Linked DNA regions of Macaca mulatta. The protein of the gene in region 1 interacts with the protein of each later gene in a pairwise test. Links are inferred from orthologs where the notes say so. Each region holds a gene or a part of one and is shown in the gene's direction. Other genes may lie near its edges.

Region 1 (3,512 bases):
CAAAGGAAATCAGTGGGGGTGGGGAGGGGCAAAAAGAAAAGGCTGAGCTGAAAGCAGAACGCTGAGTGGCAAGCACAGAAAAGGCAGCATTTCCCAGAGGACCAGTGCTGGCAATGTCACTGAGCTAGAGACCAGACTATTCCTCCAAACCCCTAAAAGAGGGGTACCTGCAGCTAAGATTCCAGAGACCTGGCTGGGTGCTGTGGCTCACGCCTGTAATCTCAACACTTTGGGAGGCTGAGGCGGGCAGATCACTAGGTCAGGAGTTTGAGACCAGCCTGGCCAACGTGGTGAAACCCTGTCTCTACCAAAGATACCAAAAATTAGCTGGGCGTGGTTGCAGGCCCTGTAATCCCAGCTACTCAGGAGGCTGAGGCAGGAGAATCGCTTGAACCTGGGAAGTGGAGGTTGCAGTGAGCTGAGATAACGTCATTGCACTCCAGCCTGGGCAACAGGGCAAAAAGTTCCGGAGACTGCTGGTTAAACAAGGATCCTAGGCGCTAAAGCAGTAAATTGCGCCACCTGGCTTTCAACAGAGGCAAATGCAAATACTGCCTGGAGGAGAATATGCTCAGTTTAGGCCTGTAGGTATTCCCTAGATTAATTAATATCAACAAAATATTGGCTCACAATTGAAGGTGCACAGAGAAACGTAATCCATGAGTGAAGTCAGCAGACATAAAAATTACAGATTTAGGACACCCCCAAAAGGAACTGAGATATTGGAATTATTAAATAATTGGAAGTCACTATGAATCAAATGCTTTTTAAAACAAGATGAAAAATTTAAAAAACCAAACAATAATAGAATACCAAAAAACAACCATGTAGCTGGGTGTGGTGGCTCACGCCAGTAATCCCGACTCTTTGGGAGGCTGAGGTGGGAGGATCACTTGAGCCCAGGAACTGGAGACCAGCCTGGGGAAATGTTGAAACCCCGTCTACAAAAAAAATGCAAAAAATTAGCTGGACGTGGTGGCATGCACCTGTAGTCCCAGCTACCTGGGAGGCTGAGGTGGGAGGATCACCTGAGCCTGGAAGGTCGAGGATGCAGTGAGCTGAGATTGAGCCACTGCACTCCAGCCTGGGAGACAGAGTGAGACCTTATCTCAAATATATATATATATAAAATATATATAACATATAAAAAATATATTATATATATTATATATATATAAAATAGAACATTTAACAGATGGCTGGGCATGGTGGCTGGAACCTGTAAACCCAGTGACTAGGGAGGCTGAGGCAGGAGGATAAGGCCTGGAGTTTGAGACTAGCCTGGGTGACAGTGAGACCTCCATCTCTAAAAAAATTTTTTTTTTTTTGAGACGGAGGTCTCACTCTGTCATCCAGGCTGGAGTGCAGTGGCAGGATCTCGGCTCACTGCAAGCTCCGCCTCCTAGGTTCACACCATTCTCCTGCCTCAGCCTCTGGAGTAGCTGGGACTACAGGTGTCCACCACCACACCTGGCTAATTTTTTATATTTTTAGTAGAGACGGGTTTTCACTGTGTTAGCCAGGATGGTCTTGATCTCCTGACCTCGTGTTGGCCTCCCATCGTGCTGAGATTATAGGTGTGAGCCACTGCACCCGGCCTAAAAAATTGTTTTGTTGTAATTAGTTGGGAGTGGTGTCATGTGCCTGTAATCCCAGCTACTCGGGAGGCTGAAGCAGGAGGATCGCCTGAGTGCAGGAGTTCGAGGATCCAGTGAACAATGATCATACTACTGCACTCCAGCCTGAGTGACAGAGTGAGACTGTCTCTTACAAAAAAAAAATTCGGCCAGGCGAAGTGGCTCACACCTGTAATTCCAGTACTTTGGGTGGCTGAGGCAGGCGAATCACAAGGTCAGGAGATCAAGACCATTCTGGCTAACACGGTGAAGCCCTGTCTCTACTAAAAATACAAAAAATCAGCCGGGTGTGGTGGCGGGTGCCTGTAGTCCCAGCTACTCTGGAGGCTGAGGCAGGAGAATGGCGAGAACCCAGGAGGCGGAGCTTGCAGTGAGCTGAGATCACGCAACTGCACTCCAGCCTGGGTGACAGCAAGAATTCGTCTCAAAAAAAAAACAAAAACAAAAAACTCAACAGGTGAATTAAATGATAGATTTGTCTGAAAACAGAACTAGTGAATAGCATGAGAGGACTAAAAGAAAAACAGAATGTGCAGTTCTAGGAGATGAGAAGGCTGAGAGTGAGAAGGTCTAACAGGTCTAATCAGATTCCCAGAATGAGAGGATAAAGAGAATAGAGAAAAGGCAATATTATGCAGATGGATAATCGTGAAGAATTTCTCAGAATTTATGCAGGAAACGAATCTACAGATAAAGCATCTAGCCCAGTGCCTACTATCTGGTGGATGTTTGGAGACTGTCTGTTCCTTCCCCACTTAGTGGTGGAGGGCTTCTCTCCACCTCCTTCCAGAATCCCTAGAATGTGCTTCTGTACCTTTTGATGGTTCAAACCTTCTAGATTGCTGTAGATGCCCTCATGGGGGGTGGGGTGGAGGGGCCAGCCCTCTCCTAGGCAACCCTGGCTGGGGTGAGGGGTATAGCTCTAGGTGAGGTCCCAGCTCTAAGTGCTAACCTGTGTGTGTATCAGAGTGAGCTCAGCGATGGCATCGCGATGCTAGTGGCAGGCAATGACCGTGTGCAAGCAGTCATCACGCAGATGGAGGAGGTGTGCCAGACCATTGAGGTGAGCCTGGGCTGGAGGGCAGGGGGAACAGCAACTGGCTGGCCTGCGGACCCCGGGCTCCCAAGAGAACTGCTCCTCTCTGACCTCTGGCCAAACTGGTCCAAAAGTTTCTGGGGTCCTGGGAGTGGTGGGAGGTGCTTTTGCCAGGCTGCTGGGTGCTCATTCCAGCTTTTCCGCAAAACTTTAATCCAATTATTTAACTTCTCTGTGCTTTGGTTTTGTTTAACCTCATAAAACAGTGATGATGATAAATGGTACACCAGCTACCTCATGGGTTCTTTTTGAGAATTATATGGAATAATGCAAATAAAAACCAGGGCTAGGGATATAGACAACACTCAGTGAAGCTACTTTAAAGTATTGTGTTTTTATTATGGAAAAGATCTGGGCTGGATTCTGGCTCAGCCACTAACGCACAGTGTCACTATGGGTGGGTCACTTTCTGTGTTGGTTCTCTGTGAGTATCCTGTGCTTTCCCAGCCACCGGGTCTCAGCCACGCCTTCCCTCATCCTTGCTCCCCATCTTTTAGGACAATAGCCGGAGGCAGAAGCAGTTGTTAAACCAGAGGTTTGAGAGCCTGTGCGCAGTGCTGGAGGAGCGCAAGGGCGAGCTGCTGCAGGCGCTGGCCCGGGAGCAAGAGGAGAAGCTGCAGCGCGTCCGCGGCCTCATCCGTCAGTATGGCGACCACCTGGAGGCCTCCTCTAAGCTGGTGGAGTCCGCCATTCAGTCCATGGAAGAGCCACAGATGGCGCTCTACCTCCAGGTGGGCCCTAGGGGAGGGTAGCAGTGCCACACAGTGGCTAGAGTCGGG
Region 2 (4,234 bases), on another chromosome or scaffold:
GAAAGTACAGGATGCTCTCCAACCTCAAGCAGAATACGATATGAGCTACTGAATTCTATTCTGCAGGGATTTCACCACTGGTTTAGAAACATTTGGAATTATTTAATTTCTCTCCTATACATCCAGGATGATACCAGCTCTGTACCATCCTTCAGATAATTGGGAAAGCAGTCACTTAAATCATTCTCTGAAGGGCTTAATTCTCCTAGGAATACAGCTAAGAAAGGCTGGCTAGATTAATTTATATTTCATGTGTATCATTTGGCAGAAACTAACCACAACTTTCATTTAGTTCAGCACTGTTGTTGGGCACGCAGTAGTCTCAAATATGCCAGAAATCCAGGCAGTAACATAAGCACGGCAATAGTATGCTTCACTTAGGTGATTCGCATTTTTTATTTTTTCTGCTAATGTAATTTGAACTATTAAAATTGTTTTTGATATCTTTTTACTCCTTTTGTTTTTCTAATACCTGTTAATATTCTACCATCTTGCTAACATTCTCTAGTCTTTTTTAATTATCTGCAATATATCTTTTTTAATAGGTTAGTCTTCCATCTACTTGTCTATTTTAACTAAAAATAAAGCAGCAGGCTGGGTGTGGTAGCTCACGCTGGTAAATCCCAGCACTTTGGGAGGCCAAGATGGGAGGACCACTTGAGGCTAGGAGTTAGAGGCCAGCCTGGGCAACATAGTGAGACCCTCTCTCTCCAAAAAAAAAAAAAAAAAAAAAAAAAATTGTATTATTATGAAGCTATGAAAACTAAAAAACTTAAAATTATTTTATTTTGTACTATAGAAGTTAAATAAGCAAATGTCTAGACATATAGACAATTAAGTTTCTCATAAGTCCCTTAAAATTTTTGAAGATTTCTGTTCATCCTCATTCTTATGAACACACTCAAAAACTTAAAATACTACATGATTTTTGTTTTTTTCTCAGGAGTTGTGGAGTGTATGGCAGCTGGCACAATTATCCTTGCACACAATTCAGGGGGCCCAAAGCTTGACATTGTCGTTCCTCACGAAGGAGATATAACTGGCTTTCTGGCTGAGAGTGAAGAAGACTATGCTGAAACTATCGCTCACATTCTTTCCATGTCTGCAGAAAAGAGACTCCAAATCAGAAAAAGTGCTCGTGCATCTGTAAGCAGATTCTCTGATCAGGAATTTGAAGTGACATTCCTATCATCTGTGGAAAAGTTATTTAAGTAATGCCATATCTGGAAAATTAAAGATATTTTATATAAACTGGTTAAACACCTTCATATGTAAATATTTTTCTAAATTCAATCTCATTTGTCAAATCATTTTACTTTAGAAAACAGACAAGAAAATTTCCTTTTAGAATAAAAGGAAGTGTTGAAAAGAAAATGGATGACTAGCCTTCAGCTTCCATTCTTGGTACACATGAGAGAAGCTGGCTGCTGAGATGAATGTGAACCGGGTTGCGGAGAGCCTTCTGGCTTTGAGCCAACAGGAAGAATTAGTGGATTTGCCAAAAAACTGCCCCTTGAGTGAGAATGAAGATGAGGGGGACAGTGATGGAGAGAGAAAGCATCAAAAGCTTCTGGAAGCAATCAGTTCCCTTGATGGAAAGAATAGGCGGAAATTGGCTGAGAGGTCTGAGGCTAGTCTGAAAGTGTCAGAGTTCAATGTCAGTTCTGAAGGATCAGGAGAAAAGCTGGTCCTTGCAGATCTCCTTGAGCCTGTTAAAACTACTTCTTCTTTGGCCACTGTGAAAAAGCAACTGAATAGAGTCAAATCAAAGAAGGTGGTGGAGTTACCTCTTAACAAAGAAAACATTGAACAGATCCACAGAGAAGTAGCATTCGGTAAAACCTCACAAGTCCTCTCTAAATGGGACCCTATCGTCCTGAAGAACCAGCAGGCAGAGCAGCTGGCTTTTCCCCTGGGGAAGGAGCAGCCAGCCATTGCTCCCATTGAACATGCGCTCAGTGGCTGGAAGGCAAGAACTCCCCTGGAGCAGGAAATTTTTAACCTCCTCCATAAGAACAAGCAGCCAGTAACAGACCCTTTACTGACTCCCATGGAAAAGGCCTCTCTCCGAGCCATGAGTCTGGAAGAGGCAAAGATGCACCGAGCAGAGCTTCAAAGGGCTCGGGCTCTGCAGTCCTACTATGAGGCCAAGGCTCGAAGAGAGAAGAAAATCAAAAGTAAAAAGTATCACAAAGTCGTGAAGAAAGGAAAGGCCAGGAAAGCCTCAAAAGAGTTGGAGCAGCTGCAGAAGGTTAATCCAACTGTGGCATTGGAAGAACTGGAAAAATTTGAAAATGCCAGAATGATGGAAAGAATGAGCCTTAAGCACCAAAACAGTGGGAAATGGGCCAAGTCAAAGGCAATTATGGCAAAATATGACCTGGAGGCTCGCCAAGCTATGCAGGAACAGTTGGCCAAGAACAAAGAACTGACACAGAAACTCCAGGTAGCCTCTGAGATTGAGGAAGAGGAGGGAGGCACAGAAGAAGTGGAAGAACTCCTTGTCCCCCATGTAGTGAATGAAGTCCAGATGAATGTGGAAGGACCGAATCCCTGGATGCTCAGAAGCTGCACCAGTGACACCAGAGAGGCTGCAACCCAGGAGGACCCTGAGCAACTGCCAGAGCCTGCGACCCATGAGGTTTCTGAAAGTGAGGGAGAAAGACCAGTGGCAGAGGAAGAAATTTTGTTGAGAGACTTTGAGGAGAGGCGATCCCTTAGAAAAAGATCTGAGCTCAACCAGGATGCTGAGCCAGCAGGCATTCAAGAAACAAAAGATTCTAGCAGCCAGGAGGTGCTGTCTGAATTGAGGGCACTATCTCAGAAATTGAAGGAAAACCATCAGTCCAGGAAGCAAAAAGCAAGTTCAGAGGGGACTGTTCCCCAGGTCCAGAGAGAGGAACCTGCCCCAGAAGAAGAGGCGCCCCTGTTGCTACAGAGGCCAGAGAGAGTACAAACTGTGGAAGAGCTAGAAGAGCTGGGAAAAGAAGATTGTTTTCAAAATAAGGAGCTTCCCAGACCTGTGTTAGAAGGGCAGCAGTCAGAGAGGACCCCAAATAATCGGCCTGATGCCCCTAAGGAGAAGAAAGAGAAGGAGCAACTGATCAACGTACAGAACTTCCTAACTACACAGTCTCCTTCCGTGAGGTCTTTGGCAGTTCCCACAACAATAGAGGAGCTGGAAGATGAAGAGGAGAGAGACCAAAGGCAGATGATAAAGGAAGCTTTTGCTGGGGATGATGTCATCAGAAATTTCTTGAAAGAGAAGAGAGAAGCTGTGGAGGCGAGTAAGCCAAAGGACGTGGACCTGACACTACCTGGCTGGGGCGAGTGGGGTGGTGTGGGCCTAAAGCCTAGTACCAAGAAAAGACGCCAGTTTCTCAAAGCCCCTGAGGGTCCTCCAAGAAAAGATAAGAATTTGCCAAATGTGATTATCAGTGAGAAGCGCAACATCCACGCAGCAGCTCATCAGGTACAAGTGCTTCCATATCCATTTACCCACCATCGGCAATTTGAAAGGACCATCCAGACCCCTGTAGGATCCACATGGAACACCCAGAGGGCTTTCCAAAAGCTGACTACTCCCAAGGTCATCACCAAGCCAGGTCATATCATTAAGCCCATAAAAGCAGAGGATGTGGGCTACCGGTCTTCCTCAAGGTCAGACCTGTCTGTCATACAGTGGAATCCAAAACAAATCACCACACGTCACAGTAAAGAGTTGAAGAAAAACTCTGTAGGTTGAGTAGCTGGAAAAGTGACAGCTAGGAGTTCTGATTCCACTTCCTTTGGTCCAGTTTTACTCTGCTACAGGGTGGATTCCAGAACTGGCTCAGCACATTGCATGTAGTTGAGCCACATTTTTAAAAAAAGAAAATGGATGACCATTAATTGACTAGCATTTTAGAATTGATCAGACATTAGAACACAGAAAAATGCTGGTACATTTACATTCTAAACAATACAGTGGATGACCCTTTTGAATATACCTAATGATTTCCTTTAAAAAGAAATTTTAAACAGACTTGTGTAATCATGTTCTCAAAGCATACAGTCAAGAGGTGGGACTGACTGATGCTTTATAGGTGTGTGTAGGGCAGTAGAGGCCAAGGTGCTGCCAACAGTCCTTTCCATACCGGTACTGGTGAAAATTGTTTTTGTTTAGTGCTATCAGCACATTTGTGTGGGTCTCGTTATCGCTTGACAGTACCGCATCTCAGCCTGGAAGTCAGGT
Region 3 (4,093 bases), on another chromosome or scaffold:
TAATACAGAAATCCAAAATATGAACTACTCCAAAATATGAAACTTTTTGAGTGCTGACATGAGGACCAAGGGAAATGCTCACTGGAGCATTTTGGGTTTTGGAGTAGGGATGGTAAACTCGTAAGTATATAATGCAAATATTACAAAAGCAAAAAAAAAACAAAATCAAAAATTGGAAACATTTCTGGTCCCAAGCATTTTGGCTTAGAATGAGTCTGTTTTAAAGTTGTTCATGCAAACTTGCTATAATTGCTTTTCATTCTGTCTATTTTTTTAGAGGAGTGTCAATTTTTTCCAGATTTTCTATGTTAGAAATCATCTCATCTGAAAGCAAAAAGTTGTGTATCTTCCTTCCCAATCTACCTTGTAATTATTTTTAAATGTCCATTTCATCAGCCTAACTATAACCTTACTGACGGCAAAGTTTTCATCTTTAGTTGTCACCTCTTTTACACTCAGATTTTTATTAGTTTTGCCACATATTAAATTATTGTGGCACTAATTTAGCTAGAAATAAACAGCTTGTAAATGCTATTTTGTCAAGGACTCTACAGTATTCCATGGTAACTATGCTTACTCTTGGGTAAACTGTGCCTCAGTTTCTTTGTAATGGGATGTTGTATTTATTTTATAGACTGATGTGAAGACCAAATAAGACTATATATTAAGTTCGTAGAGCTATGGCTGGCACAAAATCAGCCCTCAAGAAATGATCGTTATGTTTTTGTACTGGGAAGCAATTACTTTTGCGCACCACCACAAGTAACTCTCAGCAGCGAAGGAATATTAGCTCAGGAGGACATCGTAATACGCCCCCCCGCCACCCCAACATCCAAATTTCAAACAGAAAAATAAAGCAGGAGTTGCGAAGGGGTCGTGAGAAGAACGTTTCTGAGCCTACAGTGGACAGGTACAGCAAGCGGAGAGTGTTACTAGGGCAGCAGTGGTGGAAGTCGAAGGCATCCCAAGAGGGAGCATAGGCTCTAGAGACCTCTTTGAATTGGAGGCGACGAGAACCAAGAGACCGTGAGCTGCGATACACACTGTAGTGAGTGGGTGGCACGGGGCCCGCGGGCACTAACTGCCGAAGAGCGGAGAAGACTGGGAGCATAACCGCTGGGCAGCAGAGAGCGGCCGGCATGGACCGCCCCGCACTGCCGAACACCTGGAGCTGCAGGAACGACCCACGCCCAGGCCTCTTTACCCCTACCGCCCGGTTACCTTAGGGACGCGATCACCTGACCCTGCGCGGTGCGCCTGCGCGGGCCGAAGGCGGGGGGCGGTGCCATGACGCGCCTCGGGGGCGGTCCTCGGGCGCGCGCCGCTCTCTTACCCTTGGGCCTCAGAAGTCCGTGCCAGTGACCGGAGGCGGTGGCGGCGAGCGTTTCCTTGTGGGGCTAGGTAAGAGGCCAAGCGGGGAGGAAGGACACCGGTGCCGGGTCCCGGGCGCGGGGACTTGGGGCAGAGGCGTGAGGGTCCCCGGGCCACTTCACGGACTGCATCCCGGTCGCAGCCGTTTTCGGGAGGCAGCGGCGACGCCCTCTCCTCAGGGTGCTCCGCGCCCCTCCCTGCGCCCTGCTGGCTGGGTGGCAAGTTTGCGGGAGCAGCGCGCTCTGCCTGCCACGACCCCGCGGGTTTCGGGCTCCTGCGTGGGCTGGGGCTGGGGCTGGGGCTGGGGCTGGGGCTGGGGCCGGGGCTGGGGCCGGGGCTGGCTGAGCCCGGAGGCCCGGCCGGGTGAACGCCGGCAGCCCCCGCCCCAGCTCTGGGGTTCTTCCTGGGACAGTCTCTCGATCCTTGTTTTCTCCTCGATACGATCTCGAGTTGAGTAAAGAAAGAGCCTCTGGTCACGGTTCCTCCCCGTGCTCCGCGTTTCTTGGTCTGTACTTAATCACCCTCCTTTTGGGTTATTCGGGAAGCCCTGGATTTGAAAGGAGGAAGGAAGTGTTCGTTTAGTGGGCGAAGCCTTGACTTTTTTTGGAAGGGGGTGGGGAGAGCTTTTTCCTGGAGAAGTTGGACCTGAGGGAGAAACGTTTCCAGTTGGGTGTGTTTAGAAGGAAATACCCCTGAGATCTGACGACTCAGAGACTTCCTTTCAGGATTTCCTTGTAATAATGGGAAAGGGAAGGCATATGGATGTGGAAAGTTTCACTTTTACCAAAGTGGGATTATTGAGTCATAGAGTCTTCGAATGTGCCCATTTTTGAAAGGAGTTTCTAGATTATCTCGTCTGTATAACCACATACAAGTTTACTGTTGACTTTTCCATTGCGTACATTGCTTAGAAAATACGCTCGGCTTACCAAACTCTTAATATCTGCTTGTTTCAAAAATAAATAGTTGATTAAAGGAGGACATTTACATTGAAAAACAACGGCGGGCCTTTTAAATTGATTTCTAAATGTGTATGTGATTAGTTAAAACTCAAATTTGTTCAGTCTTTTTATTTTCCTGTTTAAGATTGAGGGATAACGGTAGAAAATATGTCCTTTTGTCTTCTGTGTTACCAACTTAATTCTATAAACTTTTGTGCCTTAAATGGTACAGAAATATTATAAATCAAGTGGTTTGTGGCACAGAATAAAAAGAAGTAGAATGACTTTTAAAATGGTCAGTAAGTAGTCACTCCATTGAAAATTAAATTTAACTTTGGAGACATTAACTTTTAGTTTTGGGCATTATAGGAAAAGATGTAAAAAGGAGAAAAAGAGGAACAATAGGGGAAGAATTTGCTAATGGTTGCCGGTTAAATGTACTGTTTAAAGAGTTTCTTAAAATGAGCGTGACACAACTATTTTCTCTGTTTTTGCCAGATTTGGGTACTTTTCATAGGTATTAAATGCCAAGAGATTCTAAAAAAGAAAAGCTCCCCCAAATAACTTTAAAATACTTTCTACTTTTAGCAATAGTTAACGTTAGCATTTATTAATTTCTTTTCAAGTGCTGCCAACATCTTTTGTAAATGTATTGTTTTTGAGTAGGTAAACAGTCACATGTCTCAAAATTTAAGCAGTGTAAATAGGTATATAGTATCAAGTCTCCTTCTGGCAGGCAGGCAACTTTTTTACATTTCTTAGGTATTCTAGGGATATTTTATATCTACATAGGCAAACATATAAGCTGTATTTGCCTCCTTTTAGCACAAACATTAACATTTTATATACTGCTCCACATTTTGCTCTTATTTTTCCAGTTAGTGATAATATTTTGGAGCTTTTCTAATATCAGCATGTATAGCTTTCAAGTCTTTTGCTGTTACAGTCAGTGCTGCGGTGAATAAACTTTTACATATGTTGCTTCCTTTGTGCACATATATTTGTACACTTCAGGTTTTGAGACCTGAAGTGATACTGCAGAGTTGGAGGGTATCTGAATTTAGAATTTTGGTAGATACTGCAAACTCACTCTCCATGGTAATTGTACTAGTTTATGCTCCCATTAGTAGTATATGAGTGTTTCTCAAAGCCTTGATGTCAGAGAATGTTGTCAAACTTTGGATTTTTGCCAATTCACTAGGTGAGAAATGGAATCCTATGGGTAAGGATTAAATATTCTACTTGGAGTGGACTTCATATGGACATACTTCTTAATGGCTGATCATTAGAAACCCCCAGGATATTTATTAAAAAGAAGAGTTCCTAAGTCCTTCCATGAAATCTGTGTCTGCCCAGGAAGCTGATTTTATAATAACTAGAGCCTCGGGTAATTTGGCTGTGATGATTAGCCAGATTGAGAAACATTGCTCTGGAAGACTGCTTAGGATATATCAAATTGTGTTTCTAGACCTCATGTATGAGCCATCTGGAATGCTTACCATCTGGGTCCAATGGATACTTTATTTTTTCATTTTTTAGTTTTTATTTTTTTTAGAGATGGAATCTTGCTGTGTTGCTCAGGCTGTTCTTGAACTCCTGGGGTCAAGCAGTCCTCCTGTCTCAGCCTCCGAAAGTGCTAGGATTACAGGCATGAGCCACACGGTTCCTGGCCTGATACTTTATTTTTATATTTTAAATTTTTCAGTCACTCTATGAATAGTTTGCAGAAGTGAAATAATGAAACACAACTTTACGGCCGGGCCCGGTGGCTCAAGCCTGTA
Region 4 (3,986 bases), on another chromosome or scaffold:
GGGCTGGGAGGGTGCACAGGTTGGACTATAGTTTTTCAGCTCCGAGCCCTCAGTGTCCCTCAGCATCCTGGCCCATGGGAGGCAGTTGGAAAATGTTGGTAAAATGCATGCAGGAGGCCGGGCGCGGTGGCTCAAGCCTGTAATCCCAGCACTTTGGGAGGCCGAGACGGGCGGATCACGAGGTCAGGAGATCGAGACCCTCCTGGCTAACACGGTGAAACCCCGTCTCTACTAAAAAATACAAAAAAAAACTAGCCGGGCAAGGTGGCGGGCGCCTATAGTCCCAGTTACTTGGGAGGCTGAGGCAGGAGAATGGCGTGAATCCAAGAGGAGGAGCTTGCAGTGAGCTGAGATCCGGCCACTGCACTCCAGCCTGGGTGACAGAGCGAGGCTCCGTCTCAAAAAAAAAAAAAAAAAAATGCATGCAGGAATGAATGATTCAGTTACATAAATTGTGAATTTGAGCAGGGCCACACTGGGGGTTATGCACTTATGGGAGCAACATTCCCTGTTGCCCACCCACCTTCTGGATTCTTCCTCAGGAAAGCCCACTCCGGGGTGGGGACCTCACCTTTGTAGAGCGGTGTCTCTCGGGATTTGTTAGAGATGTCCGGCTCTGCTCCTGCCTGGAGAAGTGACAGGAGACAGTCCAGGTGGCCCCTGCACGTTGCCAAGTAAACGGCTGTTTCCTCCTGCAGGGTGCGCTGGTCGATGGTCCCTGGGTACGCTAGGGAGGGCCGACCGGGAAATTCATGTAGGAAGAAGATACTCGATCCCGCAACACAGAGGCTTTCCAGATTGCCTCCCAATTTCAGGAACAATCTATGACATCCTCTGAAATTTACCAACTACAGACTGTATTCATCTGGCCCTTTCACAGGGCCATTTTAGCTTCCTGGTTGTACAAGTCCATGGTCAGATGCCACGTCCTCTGAGAAGCCTTCCCTAATTGAGCCCCTCCCTCTTCTAATACTCCTGTCCTTCCCTCGAACTCACACCAGCCATTGCTGGAAACCCACTGTTACATGCTGTGGTTTCTTGGAGTGTGGGGGACCGTTTGGGGTCTGTGCTGCTTCAGGGCAGAGGTGACACCTGCCTGCAGGAGTTGTCCTTCTAAGCCTGGCTCAGCACAAAGACAGGGCTCAGAGAGGAGGCATGGCTGGCCCAGGGCCCCACAGCAGGTGGGGGATAGCCTTGGCCGGGTACAGGCACAGCTGCAGTATTTTTCATACCAAATCAGCCCCTGGGACATTCTGGAACAAGTTGGCAGCAGCTCTGCTAAAAGTCAGCCCTCCCTCATTCCTTTTCTAGGAATGAGGCTCTCCTGTCCTCAGAGGCCTGGAGAGGTGGCAGCAGGGGGTGTCTGTCGGGGGTGGAGACAACTCATCTCCCCTCTCCTAACTCTGTGACTAACTGACAAACGAAGGTGACAGCCTTGCCTGTCCTTCTCACCAAGGTGGTTGTGGGCAAAGAACATGAAGCCCCAGGAGCAGCAGCCCTTCCCCCAGTCCCTTTCCCACCTCTTGCCACATCCAGAGCCCAACCCTCACCTCGCTGCAGGACCTTCAGGCAGCCTAGCTGGCCATAGTACGCGGCCTCGTGCAGCGGTAGCCAGCCCTCCTTGTTGGGCTCTGCGAGATTCTTCCCTTCCTTGATCATGGTCTTCAAGGCCTCTTCATCGCCATTCTTGATGGCCTTTATCAAGGGATCCACAGGCCTGTGAGAGCAAGGAGTGGGTCAGTCCTCAAGGTCAGGCCAAGGCCAGACCAGGGGTCCTTTCTCCCAGGGAGTGCTGGCAGTGGGGTCACTCGGTCCTCGTCCCCGCTGGTTCTAGGATGAGCACTCAGCCCCCTGCAGCCCAGTGGCTGCAAGAGGATTGGGGGACCCCTTAATCCCTGTGGCTTTCTATGGCTGCAGTGAATGTTATACCAAGACCATTTTTACCAAGAGGATTCAGGCACACAGTGCCAGCCTCCTAAGGGGTGGCTAACCACCCACATGCCAGGCACTTGTGAGAATTAAATGCTTTCCCTGAGTATAGCGCTCTAACGTTTACCAGGCATGCCCACCTCGAGGGCCCCTCTTAACCCTGAGCCTCTCTCTGGGGTCTTCCAACTCCTCTCCTTGCCTGGTCACTTATTCCCACTCCCAGTACATCCAGCTGCAGAAAAAAAAATTACTGGAAGGATTAATAAATTTGAAGCTTTCACAATTTAAAACTTTTGAATGTCAAAAAGACTTCAGGGCTAAAGTGAAGCCATTCCTTGCTTGGCTTGTTAAAGTCCCTTTGTTCATTCATTGCTTCCTTCCTTCCTTCATTCATTCATTCACTGAGCTCCCTGCCCCGTCCTTGGAGAGTCCATGAGAACCACGATGGCTGTGGCTCTCTGATCCACTTTTGGGGAGGGTTCTGCATCAATAGTCCCATTTCCCAGATGGAGAAGGTGAGGCTGGAGGCAAGCCTCATTCCCAGGACCCCCACGCCATGTTGGGCTAGGATGGGCTCTGGGGGTCTCTGCCACCAGCCCCTGCACCCTCCCAGCCACTTCCTCCAGCGTGAGCAGCACTTCTTCCTGCTCTCAGGCTCTCTGGTTATTAATAGCATCAGAGCACAGATGCCGGTGAAGCAACAGACCCAGCAAGGACGATGGGAAACTGATCAGATAAGTCCTGAAGTCCCCATCAACACCGTCACTGCCACCTTCACGAGTTCCACTTAGGAGCAGCCAGAGCAGCCCCTGCCAGCATCAGGAAAAGCCCAGTGGGGGTATGTGCCCCCCTTTTCCTGGAGGGTCTTCAATGGGACCCCAGCTGAAGTGGAAGGGAGGAGGGCTGGCTTTTCTCGTGGCCTTGGTGAGCAGGACGCGGTGCAGTGTCGTGAGAACACTTTCAGGACCTGCCGCCCAGCTTAGGTCTCTCCAGCTGTGATACAAGGACCCTGGAGCTCTTAGCCCACACATTCACAGCTTCTCTGTGACCTCAGACATAGTCTCTGCCCTGTGGGTGGGGGAAGGTGCTGGGGGGGTCAGGCCATCAGAAAGTAATAAGCTGGATGGGACCCTAGAGGTCACGTTGCCCTGTCCTACAGAGAAGGGAGACTCAGAGGAGCCAGCGACTCTCAGGCAGTCACGTGGGAGGTAGCAGTAGCTGAGACCAGCACTGGGTTTCCCTTTTCCAGATTGTCAACCACACCACACACCCACCACACCAAGGAAGTGGAGGGCGGCAGGATTTGAAAAAGGCTGGGAAGGAGAAAGAAAATACTGACCAATTGCCTCCTCCCTTCTCTACAACGTAACTGAGTGAGGAAATGCGGTTCCAGTGATGGGGCCCCTCTTTTGCTTTTGGCTGCTTCCGGGGTCACTATTCCGGCGGTACAGAGAGGGGAGGGAGGCAGAATTATTTTCTAAGGAACCCATTAGCCCTGCCCCTGGTGCCAGGCAAACAGAACCCCTGCAGCTTAGATTAGTTCTGGATTTTAGCACCTGGCACTTCACAAACAAGGACAACAAAACAAAACAAAGGCTGTGGGTGTGGGCATTTTGGATGGACCCAGAGTGATGGCATGGAGGAAAGTGAGACTGGGACAAACAAGGGTGCAGCCAACTCATCAAGTTCAACTCCAAGCTCTTCTGGGCCTCAGGGATGCTAAGGCCATCTCCCCAATTTCCCTCGTGCTGGGTCCCCAGTTTCAGAGCCCCGTGGGGCTCCTCCAGCACTCAGGTCCCGTGCTGGGGGCATCTGAGGGAGGATCACCAGCATGCCTGGCTGGCAGTTCCTTGAGGACCAAAGTCTGTGGCCACCAAGCCCAGCTCAGCAGGAGCAGTGGGGCCCCAAGGGGACGCCCCTAGAAGGGGCTTGCACGGCAGGTGCCTCCATAATGCCCTCTGCCCTCCTGGGGGCTGGGGGCCTGCTTCCCACCCTCCCTACCATCCCAATTAGGGGAGTGAACTTGGATGGTCCTGGGGCCAGACAGGAGTCACTTA
Region 5 (4,059 bases), on another chromosome or scaffold:
TCATCTTTGAGGTGTTTTTGACCTTTTACAACCTACCAAAAAATTCATCACTGATACATCCCAGGGTGCAAATGATGCAAAAGCAAAAGTAGTTCATCCATTTAATAAATAGTCTGTATGCAACCACATGGTGACCGGCCAAGTTCTAGGTAAGCCAATAAAGCTAATATACACAGTTCCTTTTTCCTCATTTTCACTCTCATCTTACTTCTCCTTTTTACCATTCCATCTTTTTGGAATATAGACAGCATTCTTCTATACTTCTTTTGCTTTAATAGCAATTATCTCTTCAGTAAAAACTCCAAATGTCATTCAAAATATTTACCCCCAAATAGAAAGAAAGTCGAGCTGTAACTCTAATACTTATTACACGGCCGTGTCTGACACAGAGTGGATTCTAAAAGGTTAAGTGAGCGGACCCCAGTGAGAATGAGGGCACTCCGTGCTGACGGGAGGCAGCTGAGAACCGCTGACACACACTCAGGTCCTTTTCACACCGCACAATCCCGGCGGCCTGACCCTGATCTGTCCTCGACCACCCTCTCTGAGCACTGGTGGTAAAAACCCTTAAACATAACAAGACTCGGAACCTAAAGTCAAGACAAGATCTGGTCGTTAAGGTGGGACGGCGGCATCCTTCTTGCCCATCAAAGGAGTAAGCTTTACTGAAACTTCCTGCCACAATGAGAAAAACACAAACACAAGGCAGCGCGCCCTTCCCACGTCCAGCACTGGTCCCGCACAGCAGCGGCGGAAGGACCCTCAGGTGTCCGCTCCTTCACGGCCAGGCAGGGCGGTGGGGCGGGGACGGCAGGACGCTGCCGGGGACCGGGTGGGCATCTCCGCGGGCCCCGCAGGCCTCGCCCCAGACCCGAGCCCAATCCCGGCCCCACGGCGGGGCCAGGTTCCGACCGCTGCGCGCCCATTACCTGTGGCGCAGAGCCGCAGAGCGGCCCAACTCCTCCACGCTGCCATGCCAGCCAGGGAGAGCTGCAGAAGCTGACTCTGTGCAAAAGAGGGATAAAGACACTGGGGTTCGCTGCCTGCCCGCCCGGAAAGGGAAGCAGACCCCACCCGGAGCGGAAGAGAAGCACCGCGCTCAATACGGGGGCGGGACTAGCCGGCCTCGTTAACCTCCCAGCACCCGGCTGGTCTCTAATTCTGGCTATGAGGGGGAGTACGGCGCCTGCGCGAGGAGGGTAGCGCCTGCGCAGTCGTGTTCTTAAGAATGCTTTGCGCCCCCGGCGCCCCGCCCAGCCCAGGAGCGTGGGAACCCTGCTTAAGGGCTTTACTAGGGACAACGGTGGTTGTTCACTGGGGCGAGTTTCTGGGAAGGTGAGTACCGGTGAAAGTTACGCTGAGGGTGAGGTAGGCTCCGACGACGCAGTTGCAGGTTGAATATTGGCACATCATTTACTTGCTACTCCCATGCAGTAAATGCACCTGTGGGTTTTGATGCTGGATCAAATTCCTGGAAAGAGGCGCGCATTAAGACTGTGGATTGCTGAGCTGCGCGACACTCCGTATTTTTCCAAAACGTACTTGTAATATTCTTTCAACCTGTTTGCATAATGGGACATCTCTTAAATGCAGCAAGCTTTAATGCATTTTTGCCAAAGTAAGGATTGCCTCTTTAAAAACTTTCTCTTGAAACTTGAGAACATGAAGTTAAGCGTAGGATATTTTTTGATGACTCTTTTCTGATTATTTTGGGACTAAATAAATAGTATGAAATATTTATATTGCTACCTGTTTTTTCTTCTACACGACAATGATTTGTAAAAACCATATACTTTCATGAGACGGTTACTGCAGCAGTCACTACTTCCGAATTAGATGAAATTTTTATGGGACATAAGGTACCAGAGAATTTAGATCAAACCAAATTTTGAAAACCTATGACAGCAGAAGGGGGATATGATGTCAGCCGGTTCACCTTAGGTTCAAAATTCCAACAGGCCGAAATGTTATAAAACGTTGTTATTCCTAGTGACTGGAAGATTAAATTGCACTGTAATTGAGAGCAAGCCCTAAATGTCACCCCCTTTGTGCATACAGCATGCACAAACGCGAGCCCTCTGCAGATTCAATTTTTCTTTTTGTTTCTCTTTTCTTTTCTTTCTTTTTTTTTTTTTTTTGAAAAAAGTAGACTAAAACGTAAGAGGACAGTTGAAGTGATGGTAATGTTCTCGCGGTGGTGGAACAGCTTTATAATAGTACCATCGCCTCGATACTCTTATACAGAAGCTTTTCTACTTTCTTGGCAAGGTCTCTGAATGACCCATATTCAATTTTTTTTTCATTCTAATGTATTTCAAATTTTTCTGTCTTCCACATCATGCAAAATAAAATAATATCTTTTTATATTTGCGTTACAGTTTAAGTTCACATGTGGAGAACAACGAAAACAGGTTGACCTAGATTTGTGCTCTTCAGTAGTGTAGCCACTAACCATATGTCGCTATTGAGCTTTCGAAATGTGCCTAGTGTGATGAAGTAACTGAATATTTAATTTTAATCTCAGTAAACTCAAAAACTGGCACTTGATTCAGCTATTGGAAAGTTTTTTTAATATGGTTGGAACAACTGAGGTATGTGAATCTACTTTTTCAACTGTAAACTTTATGAAATCTAAATACTGATCAAGTCCCAGGCGTCGGTGGCTCATGCCTGTTATCCCAGCACTTTGGGAGGCTGAGGCAGGAGGATTGCTTGAGGTGAGGAGACTGAGACCAGCCTGGTCAACACAGGGAGACCCCATCTGTACAAAAAATTAAAAAATTAGCCGGATGTGGCCTGGCGCGGTGGCTCACGGCTGTAATCCCAGCACTTTGGGAGGCTGAGGCGGATGGATCACTAGGTCAAGAGATTATGACCATCCTGGCTAACACAGTGAAACCCCATCTCTACTAAGAATACAGAGAATTAGCCAGGCGTGGTGGCAGGCGCCTGTGGTCCCAGCTACTTGGGAGGCTGAGACAGAAGAACGCATGAACCCAGGAGACCGAGCTTGCAGTGAGCCGAGATTGCACCTCTGCACTCCAGCCTGGGCGGCAGAGGGAGATTGTTTCCAAAAAAAAATATCAGCTGGATGTGGTGGCACACACCTGTGGTCCCAGCTACTCCAGAGGCTGAGGTGGGAGGATAAGTTGGGCCAGGGAAGTTGAGGTTGCAGTGAGCTGGGATCCTGCCACTGCCTTCCAGCCTGGCAACAGAGCAAGACCATGTCTCTATAAAATAAATATCAATTAAATATTTCTGATGAAATTAGAGAGGTTGTAACGAGATATACTATAAATGTAAAATATACACTGGATCACTGGATTGGGAAGACAATATAAAACTGTAAAATGTCTCAATATTTTTGTACTGATAATATGTTATAATGATTATAGCTTAGATATGAGTTAATTAAATTATTAAAATTAATCTCACATGTTTTTATTTTTAAGTGTAGCTACTAGAAAATTTATAATTACATATGTGGTTTTGCATTATATTTCCGTTGCACATCACTGATCTAGGCAACGTGAAAATGATCAAAATAATGCATTAATCTGAAAATGATTTAATAAACCAATAAACTTTTTAGGCTTTTTGTTCAGAGAACATGCTAAATTTCCACATGCTAAAACATATTCTGCGGTGAAAATTTTAAGTGTTTTTTTCTGCTTATCTACCTCAAGTGGTGATTTTTTTTTTGAGATTTAAAAGATTCTACTATTTTGACAATATTTTTAAAAAGACTTTCAGATAAGCTACACTTGTACAGGTATATATATATATACCTTGTGTATTTTGCATACATATTGCTGTAGTCTAAATGTGTAACCCAAATTTCATATGTTGAAACTTAATTGCCAATATGATAACATTAAGAGGTGGGGCCATTTGGGCATGATTTAATCATGAGGTGGGACCCTCATGAATGTGATTAGAGACCTTATAAAAGAGATTGAAGGGATTGTCTTAGACCCCTTTTCCCCTTCAACTTTAAGCCATGTGAAAACACAACAAGAAGGTACCATCCTGGAAGCAGAGAGCAAACCCTTATCAGAC

Evidence for each region.
Region 2: the proteins of TRIM54 (region 1) and UTP14C interact in a two-hybrid assay, tested with the Homo sapiens proteins (2 studies listed by BioGRID and IntAct). The two-hybrid records come from large-scale screens. The link is inferred for Macaca mulatta from reciprocal best matches to the Homo sapiens genes TRIM54 and UTP14C.
Region 3: the proteins of TRIM54 (region 1) and SDCBP interact in binary tests that used the Homo sapiens proteins (3 or more experiments, as listed by UniProt). The two-hybrid records come from large-scale screens. The link is inferred for Macaca mulatta from reciprocal best matches to the Homo sapiens genes TRIM54 and SDCBP.
Region 4: the proteins of TRIM54 (region 1) and OTUB2 interact in binary tests that used the Homo sapiens proteins (3 or more experiments, as listed by UniProt). The two-hybrid records come from large-scale screens. The link is inferred for Macaca mulatta from reciprocal best matches to the Homo sapiens genes TRIM54 and OTUB2.
Region 5: the proteins of TRIM54 (region 1) and CCDC102B interact in binary tests that used the Homo sapiens proteins (3 or more experiments, as listed by UniProt). The two-hybrid records come from large-scale screens. The link is inferred for Macaca mulatta from reciprocal best matches to the Homo sapiens genes TRIM54 and CCDC102B.

What each region holds. Positions count from the first base shown.
Region 1 is NC_133418.1:97,679,156-97,682,667, reverse strand, and holds part of TRIM54 (tripartite motif-containing protein 54), read left to right. Parts: intron 1-2,604; coding exon 2,605-2,700; intron 2,701-3,230; coding exon 3,231-3,464; exon of another isoform or gene 3,465-3,497; intron 3,498-3,512. UniProt on the Homo sapiens protein: May bind and stabilize microtubules during myotubes formation.
Region 2 is NC_133422.1:31,264,664-31,268,897, forward strand, and holds the start of UTP14C (U3 small nucleolar RNA-associated protein 14 homolog C), read left to right. Parts: upstream 1-1,432; coding exon 1,433-3,745; 3' UTR 3,746-4,234. Other genes in the region: ALG11 (GDP-Man:Man(3)GlcNAc(2)-PP-Dol alpha-1,2-mannosyltransferase), read left to right, coding at 944-1,215. UniProt on the Homo sapiens protein: Essential for spermatogenesis. May be required specifically for ribosome biogenesis and hence protein synthesis during male meiosis.
Region 3 is NC_133413.1:69,233,075-69,237,167, forward strand, and holds the start of SDCBP (syntenin-1), read left to right. Parts: upstream 1-1,291; 5' UTR 1,292-1,401; intron 1,402-4,093. UniProt on the Homo sapiens protein: Multifunctional adapter protein involved in diverse array of functions including trafficking of transmembrane proteins, neuro and immunomodulation, exosome biogenesis, and tumorigenesis.
Region 4 is NC_133412.1:167,214,463-167,218,448, forward strand, and holds the start of OTUB2 (ubiquitin thioesterase OTUB2), read left to right. Parts: upstream 1-1,184; 5' UTR 1,185-1,188; intron 1,189-1,550; coding exon of another isoform or gene 1,551-1,717; intron 1,718-3,986. Other genes in the region: ASB2 (ankyrin repeat and SOCS box protein 2), read right to left, coding at 572-727, 1,551-1,717. UniProt on the Homo sapiens protein: Hydrolase that can remove conjugated ubiquitin from proteins in vitro and may therefore play an important regulatory role at the level of protein turnover by preventing degradation.
Region 5 is NC_133423.1:11,949,060-11,953,118, reverse strand, and holds the start of CCDC102B (coiled-coil domain-containing protein 102B), read left to right. Parts: upstream 1-1,257; 5' UTR 1,258-1,335; intron 1,336-4,059. UniProt on the Homo sapiens protein: During interphase, forms fibers at the proximal ends of centrioles to maintain centrosome cohesion. During mitosis, dissociates from the centrosome following phosphorylation to allow centrosome separation. Contributes to CROCC/rootletin filament formation.